Linked DNA regions of Callithrix jacchus. The protein of the gene in region 1 purifies or fractionates together with the protein of each later gene. This does not show direct contact. Links are inferred from orthologs where the notes say so. Each region holds a gene or a part of one and is shown on either strand. Other genes may lie near its edges.

Evidence for each region.
Region 2: the proteins of THEMIS (region 1) and GRB2 purify together in Homo sapiens (co-immunoprecipitation; 6 studies listed by BioGRID and IntAct, counting the BioPlex papers as one, with this or other methods). This does not show direct contact. The link is inferred for Callithrix jacchus from reciprocal best matches to the Homo sapiens genes THEMIS and GRB2.
Region 3: the proteins of THEMIS (region 1) and PTPN11 purify together in Homo sapiens (co-immunoprecipitation; 3 studies listed by BioGRID and IntAct, counting the BioPlex papers as one, with this or other methods). This does not show direct contact. The link is inferred for Callithrix jacchus from reciprocal best matches to the Homo sapiens genes THEMIS and PTPN11.

The regions. Positions count from the first base shown.
Region 1 is NC_133505.1:134,242,899-134,246,261, reverse strand, and holds part of THEMIS (protein THEMIS), read left to right. Parts: intron 1-1,616; coding exon 1,617-1,901; 3' UTR 1,902-3,363.
Region 2 is NC_133506.1:131,303,754-131,308,201, reverse strand, and holds the start of GRB2 (growth factor receptor-bound protein 2), read left to right. Parts: upstream 1-1,608; 5' UTR 1,609-1,822; intron 1,823-4,448. UniProt on the Homo sapiens protein: Non-enzymatic adapter protein that plays a pivotal role in precisely regulated signaling cascades from cell surface receptors to cellular responses, including signaling transduction and gene expression.
Region 3 is NC_133510.1:115,408,087-115,411,736, reverse strand, and holds part of PTPN11 (tyrosine-protein phosphatase non-receptor type 11), read right to left. Parts: intron 3,485-3,650; coding exon 3,371-3,484; intron 1-3,370. UniProt on the Homo sapiens protein: Acts downstream of various receptor and cytoplasmic protein tyrosine kinases to participate in the signal transduction from the cell surface to the nucleus. Positively regulates MAPK signal transduction pathway. Dephosphorylates GAB1, ARHGAP35 and EGFR.

The DNA.
Region 1 (3,363 bases):
AGACATTGTGTTTGAATAATTTTGAGTCTGAGAGAATGTCATGTTGGAAATGTATTCTCACGCGATATCCAGTATCTGGGATACTATAGATATATGGTGGTTGAAGGTACCAGTTATCTGTCAGCATACAATGCTGCATAACCACCAGAAAAACATAATGGCATACAACCAAAAGCACATTCATTTTGTTCACGAAGCTGTGGAATTCAGCTGACCTGAGCTGATCTCAGGTGATCTAGGCTGGTTTCACCCAAATGTCTCGGGCTCCTCTGGTTGTTGGTTGCTTCAGCTTGGACAGCTGGGGTGACCTAACTCTGCCCATCTCGTGTTTAATCTGTGGTCAGCTAATACAGGCATAGCCTCATGGCATAGTGGAAGTTAAGGAATGAGCAAAAACAATTGTGCAAGCCTCTTTCAAGCCCCTGTGTCAATATTCTGTTAGGCCAGAAGAAGCCACTTTGAGAGGTCAAAAGTCAGAGTAGGATAGCACTGCAAAATTCTTTAGAAAGGACATGGATACAGAGAGGAGTGAAGAGTGAGGGCTATCTGTGCATCCAGTTCACTGCATTAAAAATCTCAAGAAATCAATCATAAAGAACACCATCCAGGGTTCAGGCTCAGCATTGTTCATTTGTTAACTCAAGTGAATTATTTAATCATTCTAAAGCCTAATTTCCTTACTGGCCCTTCTCAAGCTTTAAAAGCCGTTGGCTTTATAAAATCGGGCTTTTAATGAATTTCATGCTATATACAGTCTATTGGAAATACTTCACAGGAAGTTGTCCATTGTACTATCCTTTAGTGAGCCAACATGGCTAGGCTGAATGGCCATAATTGATTATCTAATATTGACATATTCTGTAATTTTATTTAAATTGATAAAATTTTAGTCTGGACTTGGTATGAATTAATTAAGTACTGGAAGTTGAATTTTCAATTGGAATCTTTATTTTTTGCTCCCATCTGATGATTCTTTTGAAGCATACAGTGTGTCAGTATAATGTCAAATGCTGTGATATCTCTTACATGTGAGATGAGTTATAGGGCCATTGATGCCGTGCCTTAATAATTCATTGTTATGATGAATTAATTACTCTAAAATTGACTAGAGGAACTTTGTCAAATTCGCATAATGCACCTAAAAATGTGGGTTAATTTATAGCAGATGTTATGATTTGTTTTATATAAAGCATACAGATAATACAGAAATGAAATCTGCTTTAATTATATAGTATGTAATTATGTAATAGATAATGAAGTGCTGGATTAGTTAACTATAAGAATAAAAACTAAGTGAAAATGTTCCAAATGAAAAATATTTTATAAGTTTCACAAAAAGAAAGTAATATACACAAATGGTCTTTGAAGATGGTTTTCTATGCCTAAAATGACTTCTTATTCTAGTTACTTAGATTGCTTCAAAAATTGTACACCTATATTTCCAAAATAAGTTGATAAACCTATAATTTGTAACTTGCTTTGACATGTCGAATGTTCTGTTTCAGACATACCTAAATGACTTGCCATGTGATAAATCGTTCATAGCTCTGTGAAACATTTATTTTGGACTGATAATTTACTTGTAATATCAATCACTCTGACCTGTGTCATTTCAGCATCATCATGTAGACATATCCAAGAAACTTCACCAGAATCAAGCTGGCCTGGATTCAAAAGTACCAGTTGGTAGTCAGAATGATTTCATGGCTGTAGAGAACGAGAGGAGCTACTGCGGGGCCACAGCAGTAGCCAGTACTAATGTGACTACAGGTCAGTTCAACCACAGTAGTTTAACTGTCCACATGACAAAGGTGCAGTGGACAGATTCTTACTGCTATTTTGTTTGGAATATATGGCTCAGCCAAAGTGACTACCCTGCCCTGCAAATCACATTGAAATAAAGTTTTACATGAGGCATAATATTGAACACTCACAATAATAATAGTAATGTTTATTGTTTTTCGTTATTAGATTTTTCGCCTCATTTATGGTTTTCATGGCCAATGAAGTGTTTTAAGATTGCTTGTATTGTTGTGATAATAAAATTTTGATATTTTTTCTAGAACAATGAACAACAAGAATTACTTTCTTGAAAAGATGTTAAAATAATTGACACGTGTTAAATTTAAGAAAGTGTCAGATAAGTCATTGACTGCAAGCTTGAATTATTATCATTTATAGAGATTGTGATCTGATATTTTTCATCTCTACTGAGGGCAAAACAAAAGCAAATGGACTTGCGGAGGAGTTGATAGCATTCAATTAAGCTACCCAGACTAACTTCCATATGGCAGAAATTTGGGATGAGATAGCAAGGGAAATAAGAAGTTTGTTTCTTGCCAATATTTTAGACACACCAAACCCCCTCAATTTCTATTACACTTTATCTTTGAAACTTCACATTTAGTTCATGGGAAAATTGAAACTGTAATTATTCTTAAGCATACGGTTTGTTCCTTTCTCCTCCTTATTTGGTTTTGTAGCTAGCACGCTTTCTTCTCCAAGGACATGTAAAAGTCAAAATACTAGATATAAAGTCTCTGAAGTGTTCCTGCTCCAAACCCGGTCTGCACAATCTGGGTTCTTTCACGTAGTTAGCTTACAGGCTTCTGACACTCCTATAAATACGTCCCATAGATCTTTTCTTATTACCTTTTCATTGACTCTCTCCGAGTGAGAAAAATGAAATTCTGTAAAGGGCTTTGAAAACCATGCATATTGCAATTCCTCCAAATTTCTAATACTAATCAAGTGTGACTATAAAAGAAACAACCACTGCAGTGAAATCGCTGCAGCATGTAGAGTCTCAAGCCATTATTAATTCATTGGAAACTGTTTTTTTTTTCTTTTTCTTTAAGATTGTGGATTCTAAAAAGTACCAGATAACACAATTCCTGACATCAAAGTTTTTGTTTCAATCAGAGGGAAATGTTACCTAATCTTCTCTTGTATGTGAATCTTTCGGGCATGGTACAGCAGTAGTCCCAGCTTTGTGCCCTGAGTGAGTAGTACAGCGTATGTTACAGACCAGAGCAGCACATGCTTTGAACCATATTACATGGAAGTGATGATTTTAGAGACAAGGATGACCTGGAATTAAAGCAGTGGTTCCAGGCAAATGACACTCCTTAACTTCATTCAAGAGAGTAAAATGGAATCTCCTTTCCTAAATCAATTTGATTTTAACATCCATTTATTTAGAAATTACCCAGTATGAACATCTTGGCAATATTTTTTATTTGCTTTCCCATTTGTAAATGCAATAAATTACTGTCTTTCTTCATTATGGATTATAATTGTGTGATAATTCTATATATAAAAATGCAAAAGTGGAATAGAGCAAAAATATAATTTTTCAAAGTT
Region 2 (4,448 bases), on another chromosome or scaffold:
TCTCTCTGCTGTCACTTTGCCATTCAAACCAAGTCCTTCTTGATTAGCTCAGCACTAAGTACTGGATCCCTCCTCAGCCATCCCTATGTGTAGTTCAGTGGCACTTGGGGTCAACTGCTTGTCTTACAGACTAGGAAACTAGATTACAAAGCACTGAAAGCAGAGGCTTTATCTGGTTGGTCATTTATCCTGCAAAGCCCCTTGCATACAGGTGATGCTCAATAAAAACTTGGTGAAAGAACATTTCAACATTTCATTTTCTGTGTTTCTTTCTTTCTTTTTTGAGACGGAGTTTCGCTCTTGTTACCCAGGCTGGAGTGTAATGGCACGATCTCGGCTCAAGGCAACCTCTGTCTCCTGGGTTCAGGCAATTCTCCTGCCTCAGCCTCCTGAGTAGCTGGGATTACAGGCATGCACCACCATGCCCAGCTAATTTTTTGTATTTTTAGTAGAGACAGGGTTTCACCATGTTGACCAGGATGGTCTCGATCTCTTGACCTCATGATCCACCCGCCTCGGCCTCCCAAAGTGCCGGGATTACAGGCTTGAGCCACCGTGCCCGGCTCATTTTCTGTGTTTCAATGGGCTTGTTTCCTCTGTACAATCAGATGCTTGGTTATTCTCATCTCAACGCTATTTTTTTGGCTTCCAGAAGACACATTAACACTAGGTGTGTTCTGTTCTATCCTTTAATTGGAAAGAGCTTTGATAACTGAAAAACAAGAATTATTTACCGAAGCCTCATCTTCTGCCACTCCCCCATACTCACCGGCCTCATACAGGAATTGAACTACTTAGCACTGCACAGCACACGACTTTCACGCCTCCGTTCCGCTGTACTTAGCCTCTGTACTTACGTGCCATTCCCTTTCCCTGAAATGCCCTTACTCTGGCTTCTCTGCCTGGCAAACTCCTACTCATCCCCCAAGACTCAGCTTAGACATCGCCGCATCACCTCTGTAAAGGCTCTTTTGCAATGGGCAGAGTAGCCATTCTTCTTCCATCTTTTTAGCTTTCTCAGCAAACTCCAAATAACAGTACTTATGGCATTATTTGTTTATTTTTCTCTGCTTCCCTAGACCGTAAATTCCTTAAGGACCAGGATTTCTGTTCTATATCCAGCACAGTGTTCAGCCTATATTAGGCACATAATTAAATAAATGAGTAAACAAACCCACCAATCATTCAACATTGCAGAGTTTGTACGGATTCTCAAATATTTCAAGACCTGGTCTTCTGTTTGGAGTGCTTCAGGCTGGAAACTCTCTTCCTCCCCCCAGCCCCCATCCATATCCAATTGCCTTGGTTTGGTAGAGGAGAAAAGAAAGTGATTAGACGGGGTAAGAATTTATTCCTTCAGGACTAAGCTGTTATTTACCCGCTCTGGTACCGAGAGGGTTACGGCGACCCAGGGGCGGAGCCGTGACGAGGCCACCTGCTGCGGGCGGTCTGGCGCATGCGCCCTGGGGCCTAGCTAGTCACTACCTGCCGGAGCCCGGCCCAGGAGGAGCGCTTGCGCTTTGGGCGTTTTCCGCCGGGGGAAGTCTCGCGGGGGCGGGGCGGGGCGGGGCCTCGTGGAGAAGTTCTCGCGGGACACCCACGGCGAGCGGAAGCGAGGCGGCTCTGCTGCTTCGGCGACCGGGCGGCGGCGGCGGCGGCGGCGGCGGCTGTGGCTGAGGCTGTGTCTGTGTCTGTTTCTGTGTCTGTGACCGTGACGGCGGCGGGAGCAAGCGCCGCCCTCGCGGAGCAGCCTCGGGGTCGGCGGCCGCTCTCAGCGTTGAGGTGGGTCAGGCCCGACGCGGAGCGGACTAGCTGCGCCACGGTGAGTGCGGGCGGCTGCGCTCGGCGCCGCTCCTGTGTCTCTTCCTCTCCGCTCTGCGACGGGAGTGGGCCCTGGGGGAACCGGGACCCCGGCCCTTGGGGTCGGGTCGGGGCGGCGAAGCTCGGGACGCGGAGTGGAATGCCCAAGGCTCTGGACTCTGCGTTTCCCCTTTTGGGGCGCTTCCTTCCTGGGGAACGTCCTCCTCCGGCTCTCGGCTGTCTGTGCAGTGTCCGGGAGCCCGGGGGTAGAAGTCGGGGCTCCCTCGTGAAGTCCCCTGCCTTCGTCGGAAGGGTTTGCACGAAAGGGGCCTGGGAAGCCCGGAAGGGCAAAACCCCGACTGAGTCAGTCCGCCCGATCCCGGCGGCGGGGGACTTGGTGTGGGCTGCAGCTGTGGTGATTGATGCGCCTCCGACCTGCATGACAACCACGTCACCATCTCTTGGCGTCTTTGGGCTTAATTTTGTGCGGGAATCCACGGTGGGGTAGAACGTTCATCTCCCCGGGGGAGATGTCTTTATTCTGAGACTTAAAAAAAAATTATTTGAAAAATTAAGCAGCAGCAGGTTGGACTGCACCGAGGAAACATTGCGGCGAGAGCGGGCGCTGGTAATTTTCATTTGCAGCGCGCCCTCTCTGTGATTGTAAACCACATATGAGTTATGGCTTGTTTGGAAAGTTTTTCAAGCCTGGCTTCAAAGGCTATGAAAGTGCAGTTTGCAGAGGACTGAAGTGCATTTGAGGTGTGTCTCTTCTTGATGCTGTTGACTTTCAGAAATGTCAGACACATGAGAGAAATCAGCATTAGTCCCTGGCTTTCTTAACCCCTCTTTCACTCAGTACTTCTCCAGTTATTTCCTTACCTCTCTATCTACTTCTGTCCATTCCACTAGGGACAAGAAGTGCTTGTGTAATGCAAGTCATTTGCCCCTTCCTTCCCCCACCCCCCTCTTTTTTTTTTCTAATCTACTTCCCCTTCCTCCTTGGTAGTCCCCACTCTGGCGTAATTTTTCGAGGTTTCTTCCCTTTCGCACTGTTAGTTTTCTCTGATTTCAAGATTCCGTCCTTTTTCTCGGGAAGAGATCCTCTTTCCTGCTTTGGTGCCTTTACTTTTGCGCTTTCCCCTGCGTTCGCTAGTCAGCCAGAAGGGTTGCTAGAGAGCCATTGGAGGCTGAGGTTCCCCCGCTGAGAAGGGGGTGGGGGGCTCAAAAGATTGAATTCAGCCGGGTGCGGTGGCTCCCGCCTGTAATCCCAGCACTTTGTCAAGAGATCCAGACCATCCTGGCCAACATGGTGAAATCCCGCCTGTACTAAAAATAAAAAAATTACCTGGGTGTGGTGGCGCGCGCCTGTAGTCCCAGCTACTCGAGGCTGAGGCAGAAAAATCGCTTCAACCCGGGAGACGGAGATTGCAGTGAGCTCAGATCGCACCACTGCACTTCAGCCTGGCGACAGAGCGAGACTCCGTCTCAAAAAAAAGATTGAATTAATCCCTAAGAATTCAGTCCTGCCACTAGGTTACAAGTGTGGTTTGTTTGTTGTTTTGTGTTTTAGTTTTTTAAGATTATGCTTTTGTACCTATTTATGCTTTCTTCCAGTATGTCTTTATAATAGTAAGGAATATTGGGTCAGCTCAGGGCTTATGTGACTTTTTGACTTTTAGTGGGGGGTGTTAATGTTAAAAAGTGAAGGTCAACTATAAGTCTATATTAGGTTAAAATAGTCTGAAAAATGTAAGAGGCTAGAACTGATTTAGACCATCGAATTAGTTGAAGCCTGCGCGTTGTAGTAGTACTAATTTATTCTTTGTTAGGCTTTTAGTTAAAAATCAGGGATCTTTTTTCTGCATCTATTATAACTGGCCTTCGTTGTTGTTTTTGACAAAGAAATCTCTATTTGCTCCTTCCCAAGTTCAAAATGTTCCCAATCTCAAGATTTAAAAGAGTTAATTCTTATGATCAGCTATCTCCTAGTATGTATGTATGTATGTATGTATTTATTTATTTATCTATCTGAGACGAGTCTCACTCTTGCACAGGCTGGAGTGAGTGGTGCTGAGGATCTCGGTTCACTGCAGCCTCCACCTCCTGGGTTCAAGCACTCTTGTGCCTCACCTTCCCAAGTAGCTAGGATTACAGGCTCTCACCACCACACCTGGCTAATTTTTGTATTTGGTGGAGACGGGGTTTCACCATGTTGGCCGCGCTGGTCTCGAACTCCTAACCTCAAGTGATCTGCCTGCCTCAGCCTCCCTAAGTACTGAAATTACAGGTGTGAGCTCCTGTGCGGAGCCTAAACTCAGACATTTAAATGTTTGAGGCACTTAACTTGTCAGCAAGTTATTCCGATTTGAGAGGTTTGCTGGGTTTTAAGTACTACCAGTTGCTGGTACTTAGAGATTCTTTTCAGTAATTCCTGTTATGTTGCATATTGTGCATTGGAGTTCTAATTGTTGCATAGAACAGAAGAGCAAAGGATTTTGGAGAAAGGAAGTAATACAGAATAGAGTCACCATGCTCTCCTGAGAGAAATTAATTCTTAACTGCTTAATTCAGAGGAAGTCTCCGCCATTACCAAGTGGCTTTTGAGAGTGTATTTTTGTGTGTGTGTCAAAGTTGCCTTTTTCCCA
Region 3 (3,650 bases), on another chromosome or scaffold:
TTTCTAAAACTTCTGTATCTCCCCATCTTGCCTCATGAGGCTTGATGAAGGTGAAATGAAATGAACATAATGAAATGAATGACTGCTGAAATGCTGCCTCTTATTATCTAGTCAGGTAGGGCACAAAGAAGGCAACACTGAGCTTGAGATCTCAAAATTCTGACTCACTATGTTTATCGTCAAATTTTTTGGGGGGGGACAGGGTCTGGCTCTGTTGCCCAGGCTGGAATGCAGTGGCATGATCTCAGCTCATTGCAGCCTCAACCTCCCAGGTTCAAGCAATCCTCCCACCTCAACCCCAGAGTAGCTTAGACTGCAGGTGTGCACCACTACACCAGACTACTTTTTGTATTTTTTGTAGAGACAGGGTTTTACCATGTTGCCCAGGCTGGTCTCAAACTCCTGGAGTCAAGTGATCCACCTGCCTCACCCTCTCAAAGTGATGAGATTAGAGGAGTGAGCCACCACGCCCAGCCTATCATCCATTTTTTATTGATGCTTTTAATCACTGTTTTCCTTCTCTCAACTAGATGATCCCTTTAAAGGCAGTAACCCTGTCTATCTTGTTCACTAGTGTCTCCAAAGCCTAACCCAATACCTGGGATAAGAGAATAATTCAAGTCTCTGTTCAGCAATGTTGAGCAAAAACTCAGAATGTTCTTTTTTTTTTGTTTTTTGAGATGCAGTTTCACTATTATTGCCCAGGCTGAGTGCAATGGCACGATCTTGGCTCACCACAACCTCCATCTCTCAAGTTCACGTGATTCTCCTGCCTTAGCCTCCCGAGTAGCTGGGATTACAGGCATGCGCCACCATGCCCGGCTAATTTTTTGTATTTTCAGTAGAGATGGAGTTTCACCATTTTGGTCAGGCTGGTTTCAAACTCCCAACCACAGGTGATTAGCCCACCTCAGCCTGGTAAAGTGCTGGGATTACAGGCATGAGCCACAGGCCTGGCCAACTCAGAATGTTCTATTCTGCATTCCTCCCCAGTACTGGAATTCAATCAATATCTGTGATATGGGCCAGGCACAGCGGCTCATGCCTATAATCCCAATACTTTGAGAGGCAAAGATGGGAGAATTGCTTGAGCTTTGGAGTTCAAGACTAACCTGGGTAACACAGTGAGACCGCATATCTAAAAAAAATAAAAAAATTAGCCGGGTATAAAATTAGCCGGGTATGGTGGCGCACACCTGTAGTCCCAGCTACTCAGGAGGCTGAGGTGAGAGGATGGTGTGAGCCCAGCAGTTAGACGCTGCAGTGAGCTATGATTGCACACTGTACTCCAGTCTAAGCAGCAGAGTGAGACCCTGTCTCAGGAAAAAACAAAACACCTGTGGTATGTTTACTTAACCTCCCTTAGGCCCCTCAGCTGAAAAATGGAAAATCATATTTATCTCAGCAAGTGTTCAGACATACTGTGGCTAAAGGACTTTATTTACCCAGTTATTCACTTTACTCATTCATTCATTCCACAAATATTTATAAATTGTAGTCTTACGAAAAGCATAAAATAATCATTCCCATAACATAGAACAGAAAAATAAAATGATGTGAACATGAGTTAAATGTAAATACTCATTCAACAAACATTTATGGAGTTTCTGTTGTATACCAGGCATTGTGCTAGATGCTGGAAACAACTGCAAAGGTAAATATTCCAGAATCATTGTTTTTGAAGTTTTCTGTCAAATGTATGACAAGAAAATGAAAGAGATCACATTATCAATGGGTAAGTGACATAGAAAAGTGTAATGGGAACACAGCACATTCCCATCAGGGACATTCTCCAACCCAAGTTAGTTTCAGGAAATAAATCAATTTACTTAAAGTCAGGAAACAACAAATCCTGGAGAGGATGTGGAGAAACAGGAATGCTTTTACACAGTTGGTGGGAGTCTAAATTAGTTCAACCATTGTTGAAGATGGTGTGGCAATTCCTCAAGGATCTAGAACTAGAAATACCATTTGACCCAGCAATCCCATTACTGGGTATACACCCAAAGGATTATACGTCATTCTACTATGAAGACACATACACACATATGTTTATTGCAGCACTATTTACAAAAGCAAAGACTTGAAACCAACCCAAATGCCCATCAATGATAGACTGAATAAAGAAAATGTGGCACATACACACCATGGAATACTATGCAGCCATAAAAAGAATGAGTTCATGTCCTTTGCAGGGTCATAAATGAAGCTGGAAACCATCATTCTTAGTGAACTAACACAGGAACAGAAAACCAACCACCACATGTTCTCAATCATAAGTGGGAGTTGAACAATGAGAACACATGGACACAGGGAGGAGAACATCACAAACTGTCAGGGGATGCGGGGGGAAGGAAAGGGAGAGCATCAGGACAAATATCTAACGCATAAGGGGCTTGAAACCTAGATGATGGGTTGATATGTGCAGCAAACCACCATGACACATGTATACCCATGTAACAAGCCTCCACTTTCTATACATGTATCCCAGAACTTAAAGTATAATAAACAAAAATAATTTTTTAAAAATCAGTTCATTTAACTTACCAGAGTTATCAATTTGAACTCTAAAATTAAAGCAACCACATTTGCCAAGTCAAGACAGGTGGATCACTTGAGCCCAAGGGTTCAAGACCAGCCTGGGCAACTTTGCAAAACCCCATCTCTACAAAAAAATACAAAAATTAGACGGGCATGGTGTTATGTGCCTGTACTCCCAGCTACTCAGGAAGCTGAAGTAGGAGGATCATTTGTGCCCAAGAGTTCAAGACCAGCCTGGGGAACACTGTAAAACATCATCTCTACCAAAAATACAAAAATTAGCCACGTATGGTGGCATGTGCCTAGAGTCCCAGCTACTCAGGAGGCTGATGTGGGAGGATCACTTGAGCCCAGGAAGGCCAAGGCTGTAGTGAGCCAAAATCACACCACTACACTCCAGCTTCAGCAACAGAGTGAGACCCTGTCTCAAAAAAAAAGCCACCACAAGGTGTTTCTTTTACTCACACTCATTTGCTGCAGTAAAGCCACAGATTCTTTCTAAAGACCCCAGTGTATGTTGGAAATCTTCCAGAGAAATTAGATCCTTTTGTTTCTTTGAGATTTTGCCACCAGTCAAAACCAAAAGAGCCAAATGGAGCTGTTGGCGCATCCACTGACTACTCATTGCCAACTCCCTTCCCTCAGAACACAATGCTCTTCTATTTCGAAGAAGCCCTCTCAGCAACTTGTTCCACGTCAATCAATGGCCGAATTTAAAAAAGAACGTCAGTTTCAAGTCTCTCAGGTCCAATTCCAAACATAAGACCAACTTCTCCTCCACTAAAAATAGGACATAACAACTCACATAAAAACAGTTTTAATAACTTACCTCAAATTCTTCCCAAAAGCCTTGCTTGACTTTATCTGTGGTCTCAGCTAATTTGCTTAGTTCTCGAACTCTGCTTTCTATTTCAGCAGCGTTTATACGAGTCGTGTTAAGGGGCTGATCAAGTACAGCGGTTGACGTAAAAAAAAGAAAATTTTACAGAAAATAGTGTTAATGCAAAAAAAAAACTTCTATGTTGATATTCATAAAGGCAAGAACAGAGGGTTCGCAGACCATATAATTCACAATAAAAGTTTTCAAAGTTTCAGTTTCTTTTCTGTTC